Oryzias latipes: one gene and its partners. Each later gene encodes a partner of the first gene's protein in a complex. Links are inferred from orthologs where the notes say so. Each region holds a gene or a part of one and is shown on either strand. Other genes may lie near its edges.

Region 1 (3,681 bases):
CGATAAAAAAACCACAGATGGTGATGTTTCATGATGTTAACTCCATAGTTTCACTTTGATTTAATTTAAAATAAAAACTCCTTAGGGTTTACTTTAACCCTTGTGCTATGTTATGGGGTCCAGATGACCCGGTCCTTCCATTGACGTGTTCTCCCTACCATGACAAAGGTGGACAAAGGTGGAAAGATTTCATGTAATCCATGGACACCAGTGAAGATCACAAATCATTGAAGAAAAAAGGTTCAGAGCACTGTCTAGTGCAGGGGTCCCCATATCCAGGCCTGGGGGGCCGGTGTCCTACATGTTTTCTAACCAACCTGCCATTGAAGCTCCTTATTGGCTAAACACACCTGATCCAGGTAATCAGATACAAATATGGCAGGGTTTCTGGAAAAGCAGCACGACATTGGCCCTTGAGGCCTGGATTTGGGGACCCCTGGTCTAGTGGGTCTAGATGACCCAACATTAACATGCCTTGGAGGCACGTTAACATTGGGAGTTGGGTCATCTAGACCCCACAAGTTAGCAGAAGGGTTGGACAGGAAGCTTGGGAGCAGAAACTCCTGCTTTTGTTGACCTCTGATCTCTGTTTTCTCTGTCCTGCAGATTCCAGATGAGTTCGACTCAGGTGAGTAGCGTCCGTCTGAGAACTGAAGTAATGAGTTACGGTCCCCCGCTGAACATTTCTGTCATAAACTGGAAGATGAGGCGACGCTTTAGGGAATCTTTATTCAGAAAGAACGCTTCTTTTGATTTTTTACTTTGGTGAATCAAGGACACAACAGTCAGCTCAGGAATGGGGTTGGCGTGTTCTCCCCGTGGGCTTGGCGTGTTCTCCCCGTGGAGGTAGCGTGTTCTCCCCGTGGAGTTGGCGTGTTCTCCCCGTGGAGTTGGCGTGTTCTCCCCGTGGGGTTGGCGTGTTCTCCCCGTGGGCTTAGCGTGTTTTCCCCGTGGAGGTAGCGTGTTCTCCCCGTGGGGTTGGCGTGTTCTCCCCGTGGGCTTAGCGTGTTTTCCCCGTGGAGGTAGCGTGTTCTCCCCGTGGAGTTGGCGTGTTCTCCCCGTGGGGTTGGCGTGTTCTCCCCGTGGGCTTAGCATGTTTTCCCCGTGGAGGTAGCGTGTTCTCCCCGTGGAGTTGCCGTGTTCTCCCCGTGGGGTTGGCGTGTTCTCCCCGTGGGCTTAGCATGTTTTCCCCGTGGAGGTAGTGTGTTCTCCCCGTGGGGTTGGCGTGTTCTCCCCGTGGGCTTAGCGTGTTTTCCCCGTGGAGTTAGCGTGTTCTCCCCGTGGGGTTGGCGTGTTCTCCCCGTGGGCTTAGCGTGTTTTCCCCGTGGAGGTAGCGGGTTCTCCCCGTGGAGTTAGCGTGTTCTCCCCGTGGGGTTGGTGTGTTCTCCCCGTGGGCTTAGCGTGTTTTCCCCGTGGAGGTAGCGTGTTCTCCCCGTGGGGTTGGCGTGTTCTCCCCGTGGGCTTAGCGTGTTTTCCCCGTGGAGGTAGCGTGTTCTCCCCGTGGAGTTAGCGTGTTCTCCCCGTGGGGTTGGTGTGTTCTCCCCGTGGGCTTAGCGTGTTTTCCCCGTGGAGGTAGCGTGTTCTCCCCGTGCACGCGTGGGTTTTCACCAGGCACTCCTTCCTCCCACCGCATGCTTCATGGATTAACTGGTGACTGTAAATCGTCTCTAGGAGTACAGCTGTGTGGGATTGAGTGACCCTGCGACAGACTGGCGGCCTGTCCGGGGCGTACGTCGCCTCTGCCCCACAGTTGGGGTCTGGCAACCATGTGACCCCCAAAGGGATAAAGCGGGTTTACGGTCGGTGGTTAGTTCATCACCTTTGGAAAAAAGTGACCGACCTGTGACGATGCAGATGGACGAGTTACCATCAACCACTGAGAGAAATCTAGAAACTGGTTTAACCGAAGAAAAGTTAATGATGCAAAAAGCTAATTAACAGGAAAAGCTGCCAAATAAAGGATGATAAACGTGTAGAAATGTTACATTAATTAAAAGACAAAAGAAACGACGTTCACAGGAAATCATAAAGTTAATACTTGTTCTAAAATCCTTCAGTGTTTGTGATCTAAAATTAGTTTTTAACGCTGAAAAGTTTTGTTTTTACTGACATTTAAGATTTTAGGAGGAAATAACCAGAGAACCAGCCGTTTGGTTCTCAGAAAGGCCTTCATCAGGGCATCTTCCTCTTTGGTGTCCCCTTCCTTTGGAGCGCTTTCACTCCTTTTTCAACACTTGTTCCGACTTAAAACATGAGAAACATCTGAAGTATTCGCCCCCCCGTCCGTCCCCGGATCTCATTTCTACGGACCTTCTCTGCGTTTCATCTCAGCAGCAGATGGTTTCTTCCTGCTTCAGCTCGCTGCAGGGAATCCTGGGGGTCCGAGTCCCCCGGGATAGACATGCGGGGATGGATGTTTGCCCCCACAGGGCAGTAATGATCCCGTGGCCTCACGGGAGCCCCGGTCTTTATTATGATTAGTCATTAGCAGGTTTCCAGCTAGAGCTGTGATCAGCAGGACTCATTGATCAGCTGGAAGGCTGCAGGTCAGGGAGCCAATCAGAAGGAGGCGTCTTTGTTTGGAGGCCGTTCTTTAAGCAAACAAAGTCCTCCTGAAACTGTTTACCCCTGCTCTGCAGAGGAAAGGAGGCCAATCAGAGTCCAGGTCCACACGGCTTCATCAAGCTGCTCAGATGTTGTTGGGGGGGGTCCAACATGTCGACAGATGAGCTCTAGAGGAGATCCAGGCTCCTGCTTCACCTTCCTCTTCTCTCTTTCAGACCCTCCAGTTGTCCAGCAGTTGAGGAGAACCTTCAAATACTTCAAGGATTACAGACAGGTGATCCTCCAAACATCTTTTCCTCCTGGAACGTTTCATAGTGACATGTTTTCTGTCCGGCCGCTGGGCGGACGCGTCAGAGCTGAGGGCCTCTAGTGTCGGACTGATGTTACAACAGGGGGTTAGGAATCTTCTGACACGCGAGGTGTCTATTTGAATAAACTCCTTTTTGGATTTGAGGGATAGCAGATTGAGAATATCCGCCCACCGGGCAACCCAACGTCAGCCACCCAGACTGGGGTCAGAAGGACCACCACAGGGTCCCATATTTAGGGTTTTACCATCAGATTTTCTTGAATCCGATCCTTTGAGGGCGCCGTGTGACCGGTTGGTTTTTTTGCAGATGATCATCGAGCCAACGAGCCCGAAACTGCTGCCCGACCCGTTGAAGGAGCCGTACTACCAGCCGCCCTACACCCTGGTGCTGGAGCTCACAGACGTCCTGCTGCACCCGGAGTGGTCGGTGCGTTTGGCTCCATGCACGTGTTTGCTAGTACTGATGTGGTGACATCACTGAAAGGGGAATGAAGCGCTGAGGTCAAACACAACCAAGCTTCACGTAGGAGAACACGGACCTCAGACAACCACGGCGGCCGTCCAAAGCCCGTCAGACCCCCCGGCGGTCTGTGCTCACACTGTAGTCCATGTGCCGCCGTTAGCTGCCGCTCAGCCAATGAGGGGGGGGTAATATGGGGGGTAATGGAGGGGCATTGAGGGTGCTTGCTGCTTTCTTTTCACGTTTTATACGTTAAAATTGTTCAGATCATCACCCCTTCATAGGGAATAACGAGGCATTAACAACGACGTTTCATGGTTAAATTCTGAACCTGTCAGAAGGACTA
Region 2 (4,165 bases), on another chromosome or scaffold:
TTCCACATAAGCATTCAAAAAGAGAAAAATAAGCATACTTCGAGAGAGTAACTTATAATAATATCGTACGGTCCGATAATAAGTATTTTTTGCTAGTTCTAAGCAAATGGATTTAATTTTTTCAGTTTTTATAAACCTAATTCTATTTCATTTTGATTACAGTGACAAAAAATAGTTAAAAAGTAGAAATGACTCATTTTAGAACAAATCCTCATAAAATTTAGCTCTAATTGTTTGAATGTAAATCAAATTCTCAGTTTCCAAAACAAGGACACTGAATGCCAGTCTAACATTTATTGAACTCTAAAATAAAATCTTTAAAATTGAGCCAAAAATGACACTGTAATTAGAGATTTTTTGAGTCTTGAAACAAGTTTTTTCTCTTGTCGAGAGTAGGGAGCAAAAGAGTTTGGATTCATTTTAATACTTATTTCTTTATTTCTGTATCTCTGCTCTTCCTGAGAATGTGTATAGCAAAAATAAGTTCAAACAACTTAAAACCTGGTAAAATATCTTGAATGTCTGAAAAGGTTTTAATCTTTGAAAGAATCAAATGCTTTTCAATGTGTGATCTTGGGTGTATTATTTTAGTTTAGCTTTTGGTTGCTCTGAACTACATGTGGCTGTTTTTTTGTTTTGGCAAACAATTCCAAAGCCTTTAAGTAGCTGACATTTCAGTAGTTGAGCTCTCACAGAGTACACCCGGACACTTGATGTATAGGGTTAGGGTTGGTGAGTATTTTCAGAAAGGATCCTACTCCCACCAGCAAAGTGTTTTCTTCTTCTTCATGTTTTAAATCCAACCTGTGATGTTTCTGATGTTGTGACTAATTTCTACAATCATTCATACTCTGTCTGCAGTCACATTTATAAATGTTAGCATTGTCACAAACCACATCAACCACCCAAGGATTGGCTAATAGATCAGCTAATATAAATAAATTATGTGAAAAATTAAGTATAGATTTTTATTAAAAAACAAAAGCAAACACATATTATCAAATTTTTATAATTTTTAACTACGTAAACATTTTATATTAAGAAGTATTTACTTAAAAATAGTGAGGCATTTGTTTGTCCACGAGTGACAGATTAACTGGAGATTTTGTAAGTTATTTATTTTTGTCTTCTATTTCCCTGGAATTATAAATAACCAAAAAAAGCGGAAAAAATGTATACAGAAAACTGCAACCACACGTCTGCTCGATAGATGGCGGTACTCATTACTTTCAACTATTGGTTTACGTTCTGTGACGTCAAGAAGAAGAGGTTACGTCAGGACGCTCAGGGGAACACGGTGAAAGAACAAAATGGAGGAATATGCGAGAGAGCCGTGGTGAGTTTTTTATTTATTTATTTATTTTTAAATCACCTTAATTGTCTGGTTAAAAAACAAGACATGTTTGTTCCTTAACTTTGAGTACCTATTCTGATCACCAGTTGTAATGACTTTATCAGTCCTTAACCTTGCATGCTAGTTAGTGGTGTTAGCCGAAATGCTAATTTCTCCCTTGAAATCTATGGGTAGCTTGACGCTAACGACATACCGGCATGGTCGTGAAATCACGTTGGTGACCTTGTCGGCTATTTCGTCCACATGTAACTCTACTGACTTCACTGAAAACAGTAGTTGACTTTGCACTAAATAGAACACGGATTGCATCAAGTACCAAAAAGCCAACATCACCATTGTTGTTCAGAGAAAATTTGTATAACTTGTTATGAGACCCGTGTTGTTGTAACTCTGACTGCTGTCAACCCGAACCTGTGAGTGATCGGTTTTACTAGATTCCCCAAACACTTGTTTCGACATCCTGTAATCAACTTAAAAAAAACCATCATATCTACGTAAAATTGTGTTAACTATAGGTGGACTGTAAAAACCCATCTTAGGCCTTACTGCCATTAGTGTGACACTAAGTTGTTATATTTTGGCTGATCCATGACCAGTTGTCTTTTTCCCACCTCATTTAACTAGGATGTGACAAAACAATGGAACTTGATGCAATTTTGCTTGATTTCCACAAAATATATCTTTTTGGACGGTTTTGAGCTTTTCTTTAACACACAGTTGCACTGTGTCCTCTACATATAGCATGTTATTTCCTCTTGGCATTGTTTTAATGGTCTGCAATATGTTTCATTTTGGATAATAGGCATGACTGTAATGAAGTCTCCTGTAGCACATCCTGAAGGTCTCAGTGGTATTAAGACCTGGGTGTTGAGGTATTTGGTCCATGCATGAAACAATGTCTAAAGTTCCTAGAATTAGACGTTGTAAATCTTGGGCTAGCTTACTGGCATGCAGATGCACTCCCCAACCCCAACACACAGACAGAATTAAATCAATTCAAGTTTTAAGTTGTTTCATTTAGTTCTTAACCAGTTATGACAATAAAAAAGTCTAAATTATTGATGTCTACTGTGGACTTGTTTTTCTCTCAAGTTTGATGCATTTATTCGTTTTTGTCCCCCCCCCCCCCCCCCCCCATATATTTGGAACTCATTAACGAACAAATACCTGCTGTTTATTTTAAAAATACTCGTATTAGGTTCTGTAGTCTGTTGTCTGGCACTCCATGAGTACAGCATGAGGTTAAGCTTTGTCTGTGTTTTTTGTTTTTTAGCCCCTGGAGGATTGTGGATGACTGTGGTGGAGCATTCACCATGGGAGCTATTGGAGGAGGGATATTCCAGGCGGTAAAGGGCTTCAGAAACGCACCCTCGGTAAGTTCAGTTTGGACATTTGAACTGTACGTGTGTGCCGTCACATGGGTTTGCTGTGATTATCTTTCTCCTACCTGTAGTGGCAGAGCCAGTGTTTTGAAAGCCTTGGCCTTCTGGTTCAATGACTCGCTCAAGGAAGCTTTAAATATTTTCCAGCGAGATGGGTGTTATAGTGTTTATCTGCTCTTCACACTTTTTAAATCTGTTTGTGCTGGTCTTTTTTGTAGGGAATGAGCCACAGGATGAGGGGTAGTTTAACTGCCATTAAGACCAGAGCCCCGCAACTGGGAGGTAAGACAAAAAAAATTCCACATGTGCCGACACTTATGTCTCATTTCCACTGAGCGATCCCGGTCCGGTCAGGTGATTGTCTTTCCTCCTGCGTAGTGCCAATAGAACAAAAGCTAAGCTATCGACAACAACAATGCGTGTTGTGTTTTTTTTTCTTTTCTTCTTTCTCCAAGATGGAGGATATATAAAGAAAATTAGGCTCAAAATTCTATTTTGAGTATTTCTACATCGAAATCTTTGTGAATCAGGCGCAGACGCAAAAATGTTGTTGGAAAAAGCTTGTAGGTGTGATTAAAGGCATCTGGCTCAAAACTGTACGGCTGGAAAACTCCAATATTGCTTGCCATTTTAGTTGCAGCGGTAATTTTAGGTTGGGGTTGTGAGGGACTGTAAGCTAGCAGGAAAGCCTATAAATGGATGGATGATGGGATGTGGGGATGGACTTACTCTGCCAGCAGAACTTGGAGGTGAATTTTTAATGAACTCCTGCTGTTCTGCAAAAATTATGTCCTAGAAAATGACATGTTCTTTTATTTTTTTTGCTCAAATCTGCATAATTATAAGTAAAAAGTCCACTGGGGACACTTTTACAATAGATCAAGAAATGATCGGAGTGGGACTTTGATGGGGTTATTCTGCTGTTCTGGTAGCAGGTTGTTTACCATGTAAACAACAATACCCTTGAGTCATGTCAACTTCACCAAAAGGTCAAATCTTCATTGGTTTACGTTGCTTGTTAACCATTACTGTGTTTAAACTTTTGGTTGTCTTTTTTTTTTTTGCAAGGTTATATTCATAAACGGGTTTATAACATTTTCTGCTATACTGTCAAAAAAGATGACTGATGGTTACTAGTTGGTAATTATTTGTGGGTGTGTGTTGCAGGTAGCTTTGCGGTGTGGGGAGGCCTTTTTTCCATGATTGACTGTGGTTTAGTAAAAGTAAGAGGGAAAGAAGACCCCTGGAATTCAATAACAAGTGGTGCCATGACTGGTGCTATTCTCGCTGCAAGAAGTAAGTACAAATTTCCCCTTTTGAAAATAGACAGAACTTCAGGTGAAATTTTGCCTTGATCTAACTTGGAGCTCATGTAGTGATACAGAATTTCAGTAACTATATAACATTGGCACCAATTCAAATCATTGAA
Region 3 (4,312 bases), on another chromosome or scaffold:
ATTGCTTTTCATTTCAATGGTAGATCAATGACACGCAGTGATCATACTCAAACACAGCAGCGCAGCTGATCGACTTCGTTTCTACGTACCACGTCGAGTCAAACACTTTGTACCAATTTGGGGGAAGATTTTCTAACCGAGTGGCTTCATAGTCAACATTGTTGTCATCATAATCTTCAGCGATGATCTCCTCCTCTATCTCTGTTTTGTTGAGGAGAAAAAGTCGTTTTAAGCTCAGAAAAAAAGCAGAAAGTAAGCTCTGTGAGGATGTAGAATACTACCTTGATCTGAAGGTTTAACTATTCCTCTCTTGGCCAAACGGGCCAGCAGGGCTGGAGGTAGAGGCATCTGCAAGCACAGAGGAGTTAGGATTAAATGATGATGCAAATGCTGACAAATTCTTCAGTTGATTACATACGAATTCACCGATTGTGTACAGGAGTTAGGATTGCAGAAATTTTGATTAAATATAAATTCTTTTTAAAAAAAAATAAAGGTTCCATTCCAAAACTAATTATGTTCGTTCACAAACATTTTTGCCTAACTAGTGATTTAAATAAAGCAAAACTTGAACTTTAAATCAATAAAATTCAACTTCTGGCTTTAAAAGCAAAGAAAATGTTTTATTTAACCTGACAAATACAAAATATTACTTTTATAGAAAAATCAATTAATTAAATAACTGATTTGGCTTTAATTTGGCAGAACTGTTTCGTTTCAAACTAACCCATAAAAGCAACAACATAAGAGACACCCATTACCCCAAATTCTGAAATTAAACATGTTCTATGACCAAATCCAGATGTACAGATGTGTACATTCAGAGCACCTGTATAGATAAGGTATTTGAAGCAAACAAATCCATTCTTCACTGTTTCTAAACAAATTCTCTGGAGGAAAATTTTATGATAAGGTGCGAAATTTAAACACGCACGCACGCGCGCGCACACACACACACACAAAACTGTCTCAATTTCAAAGCAGCTCAAAAAATGAAACAGGACTTTTCTGAAAGTTATTTCGATGGTTCTGGTTCTACTATGGAGCGATTGATTAAAACTCTCAAACGTTAAGTTTTTTTTGTCTTTTAAATATTGAGGTTAGTGTAGCTCAGTCAGTTTTAAAATATCGATAATTAGCAAAGAAACAATATTTCAAGAGCTAAAATAATCTGCACGAAAACATGATCCAGGCCCGTTTTTCTGAACTCAACTCACAGCTGCGGTTAAAATAAATCAAAATCCCGTCATTTTGAAGTTCCTAACTATAATAAGAAACTCAATTAACCAAGTAAGCGTTTATATAAATAACAAAGAGGGGGGAAAGTCTGTACCTGTTCTTAAAAACGACTATTTCAATCGTTAAAATCAACAGACCACCACAACGAACGATGAGCCGGCGCCTGATTATGACGTCACTGCGCTTAAAAGACGACACGAAAGATGGAGGAGTTTGCGCGTGAACCTTGGTGAGATTATCTTTTTTTGTCGAATAAAACCTAAACATATTAGTTTGTCCTTTGGCTTTTATGCAATTTTGCCCTCTTGTTGAACGAAACCTGACCAGGTTGAATAGTTTCGCGTCCACCACCGAGAAGTAATCTAATTTCAACTAGAATTCTAACATTTCGCAGGTTATAAAATATATTATTTCTACAATTTATGGAAAAACGACAACATTTACTGTTAGTGCTTTAAATTAGCTTAAAACATATTGCGAACAAATGTTACATATTTTGTGACATTTTTAATTAATTGGTAGTAAGCTTGTTTATTGTTTTTCAAGCCGAAACATCCAATTTATATCCTTGTGCAGAAATGGATGTTTTATATATCACAGAATATAATGGTATTTAATAGCAATTAAGATCACAGTTACATTTATTCTATAAATCCTAAATGCAGTTTAAATCTCTCAACAACTTTCAGACATTTTAAAGAATAATCATTAACATTGTCTACTATTTCATAGATGGATGATTGTTTATTAGAATTCAGTAAAGTCGACACTTCTAGGGCTTCAGGCACACAGATCTCCTCTAAAGCTGCCCCAACTCATCAAAATGCTGACATGCTTGTCATTGAGTCATTGATAATCCAGATTGATAATAACACTTCTGAATTTAACTGATTATAGATATTAGATAGTTGTTATGGTTAACCCATTTACTTCTGAGTTCAGAGTTTTTGGAGGGATTAACAGAAAGATCCCCCACCGTCTACAAAAGGAAGACACACAAACCAATCAGAGTAAAAACATGGAGACAGAATCATTTGTTTCTCTTTTTGGTCTGCTCCTGCTCCGTCTGCTTGCTGCCCCACGCCGCTCCGTCTGCTTGCTGCCCCACGCCGCTCCCTTCTGCCTCCTTTTTTCCCCCTCGCAGCTACAAGCTCTGCCACCTCTGGCTCTTCTCTGTTCTGATCTAATCAGTTTCTCTCTGATCTGTTCCTGCTTTGTGGTTATTCCTAGTTTTGAACTTAAAGGAAGTCAGAATTCACTCCCCTTGTGTCAGAAGAAAACACTGTGGATCTGTGATCCATTATTTTGCCTTTAGAGAGTAAATCTGAATGGAGAGAACCCCCTAAGTTTATAAGACAAAAGAATCAGAGGAAAATCCTTTAATTTATCATTTGACTCGTGACAAAGTAGAATAAATAGAAGAGTTAGCATGAAAAAGCCTGTGTCTTCTCATTTAGATCTTTGTTTGTTTTGAACATTTGAGCCTCCTGCAGCAGTAAGCCACCAGAAAGAACAATAATATGTTGCTGTTTTGCTGTCTTAATCCAATGACTAATTATTTAAACAAGTGTTTTAAAGCTGTTAAAGAAAATGCAGGTTCAGTGTGACCTTAAATAATGTCTGCATCTGTCGTTTAATAATATACTGCAGCTAAAATTGGGATTTGGAGTTAATATAATCCAAAGATGAATTCTTGTGGAAGCTGGAAAGTATGCCGGATCGTTGATAGCTTTCCTAAGAAATTAATAAAAAGGTTATTTGTTTCAGTTCTACACCTTTAACTTCTTGGCCTAATTTTGGTTCATTCAGATCCTGATGAGTCAATCTGCAATTTTTTTCCTCTGTGTCCGTAATTTTTCATGATCTGACTTCTTTCCTGCAGCCCCTGGAGGATTGTGGATGACTGTGGGGGGGCGTTTACTATGGGTGCAATTGGTGGAGGGGTGTTCCAAGCAGTCAAGGGGTTTCGAAACGCCCCCGCCGTGAGTTAAAACCACAAGTCTGTTGGCTCTGATGCGCCTGTTTTGTGAGGATAATAATTAACAGCAGTCTGACCTTTCAGGGTGTTGCACACAGGCTAAAAGGAAGCGCCAATGCAGTGAGAATAAGAGCGCCGCAGATTGGAGGTGAGGAGATTTTGCTCTTATTAATAACAAAAGGTTTCCTGGCTTCACCACAATGTCATTTGCTGTTCATCTCTTTATTGGAAAAATTATACCTAGATGCCATAAGAGCTGTTCTCTTCTTGTTTTTGTTTTTCACACTCCCCTGAACATTTTTGCAGGCAGCTTTGCAGTGTGGGGGGGGCTCTTCTCCACGATCGACTGTGGTCTGGTCCGTCTGAGAGGGAAAGAAGACCCGTGGAACTCCATCACCAGCGGGGCCCTGACCGGAGCCGTTCTAGCAGCACGCAGTAAGAGCGAGTCTGGGCCGCACACTCTCAGCGGGTCGTAGTGTTTGGTGGAATTGAGCGGACAGGGTGTCTTTCCTCAGGCGGACCGTTGACCATGGTGGGCTCTGCCATGATGGGAGGAATATTGCTCGCTCTCATCGAGGGTTTTGGGATCCTGCTAACCAGATACACTGCACAGCAGTTTCAGAACCGTGAGTGAAACTCTTGAATGGTGGTTTTATTCTTCCAAAAATGAGTTTTTGAAAATCATATTTGTATTCTACAGTAATATAAATCAGGTTGACTTTTTCTTTGGTGTATACATTTAGTTATTGTTACCTATTCACACTATTGAAGTTTTTTTCGCGGCAAATGCAGAAGACACCAGGGAAATTACATCAGCAAAATGTGATTTGCATTGTTAAAAAAACACGATGAGGGCAAAATGAAGGCTGCAAACTGGAATTTTTTGGTTAATCCTTAGTCATATGCTGGTTTTTGGTTTGTTCGGGGCTGTGGAGGGTCGTAGAGACAATCAGCTGCACCTTGAGGGGAGCAGATGTGTCTTTTAGTTTCCCTTCAGTCTCGTACCTAATGGAACGTCACTAAAAATGCAATGTACAGTTGTCATGCGTTTGGTAAGTTTGTATTTGTGAAGTATTTCTAAGGATAGTGACGTAT

The links.
Region 2: timm50 (region 1) and timm17a share a complex: the UniProt entries of both Homo sapiens proteins name them as parts of the TIM23 complex. The link is inferred for Oryzias latipes from reciprocal best matches to the Homo sapiens genes TIMM50 and TIMM17A.
Region 3: timm50 (region 1) and timm17b share a complex: the UniProt entries of both Homo sapiens proteins name them as parts of the TIM23 complex. The link is inferred for Oryzias latipes from reciprocal best matches to the Homo sapiens genes TIMM50 and TIMM17B.

The regions. Positions count from the first base shown.
Region 1 is NC_019871.2:1,074,410-1,078,090, reverse strand, and holds part of timm50 (mitochondrial import inner membrane translocase subunit TIM50), read left to right. Parts: intron 1-606; coding exon 607-628; intron 629-2,780; coding exon 2,781-2,839; intron 2,840-3,182; coding exon 3,183-3,302; intron 3,303-3,681. UniProt on the Homo sapiens protein: Essential component of the TIM23 complex, a complex that mediates the translocation of transit peptide-containing proteins across the mitochondrial inner membrane. Has some phosphatase activity in vitro; however such activity may not be relevant in vivo.
Region 2 is NC_019863.2:11,441,694-11,445,858, forward strand, and holds the start of timm17a (mitochondrial import inner membrane translocase subunit Tim17-A), read left to right. Parts: upstream 1-1,225; 5' UTR 1,226-1,310; coding exon 1,311-1,336; intron 1,337-2,627; coding exon 2,628-2,727; intron 2,728-2,954; coding exon 2,955-3,018; intron 3,019-3,903; coding exon 3,904-4,032; intron 4,033-4,165. UniProt on the Homo sapiens protein: Essential component of the TIM23 complex, a complex that mediates the translocation of transit peptide-containing proteins across the mitochondrial inner membrane.
Region 3 is NC_019865.2:21,320,940-21,325,251, forward strand, and holds the start of timm17b (mitochondrial import inner membrane translocase subunit Tim17-B), read left to right. Parts: upstream 1-1,417; 5' UTR 1,418-1,442; coding exon 1,443-1,468; intron 1,469-3,121; coding exon 3,122-3,221; intron 3,222-3,301; coding exon 3,302-3,365; intron 3,366-3,523; coding exon 3,524-3,652; intron 3,653-3,732; coding exon 3,733-3,843; intron 3,844-4,312. Other genes in the region: pqbp1 (polyglutamine-binding protein 1), read right to left, coding at 90-201, 282-348. UniProt on the Homo sapiens protein: Essential component of the TIM23 complex, a complex that mediates the translocation of transit peptide-containing proteins across the mitochondrial inner membrane.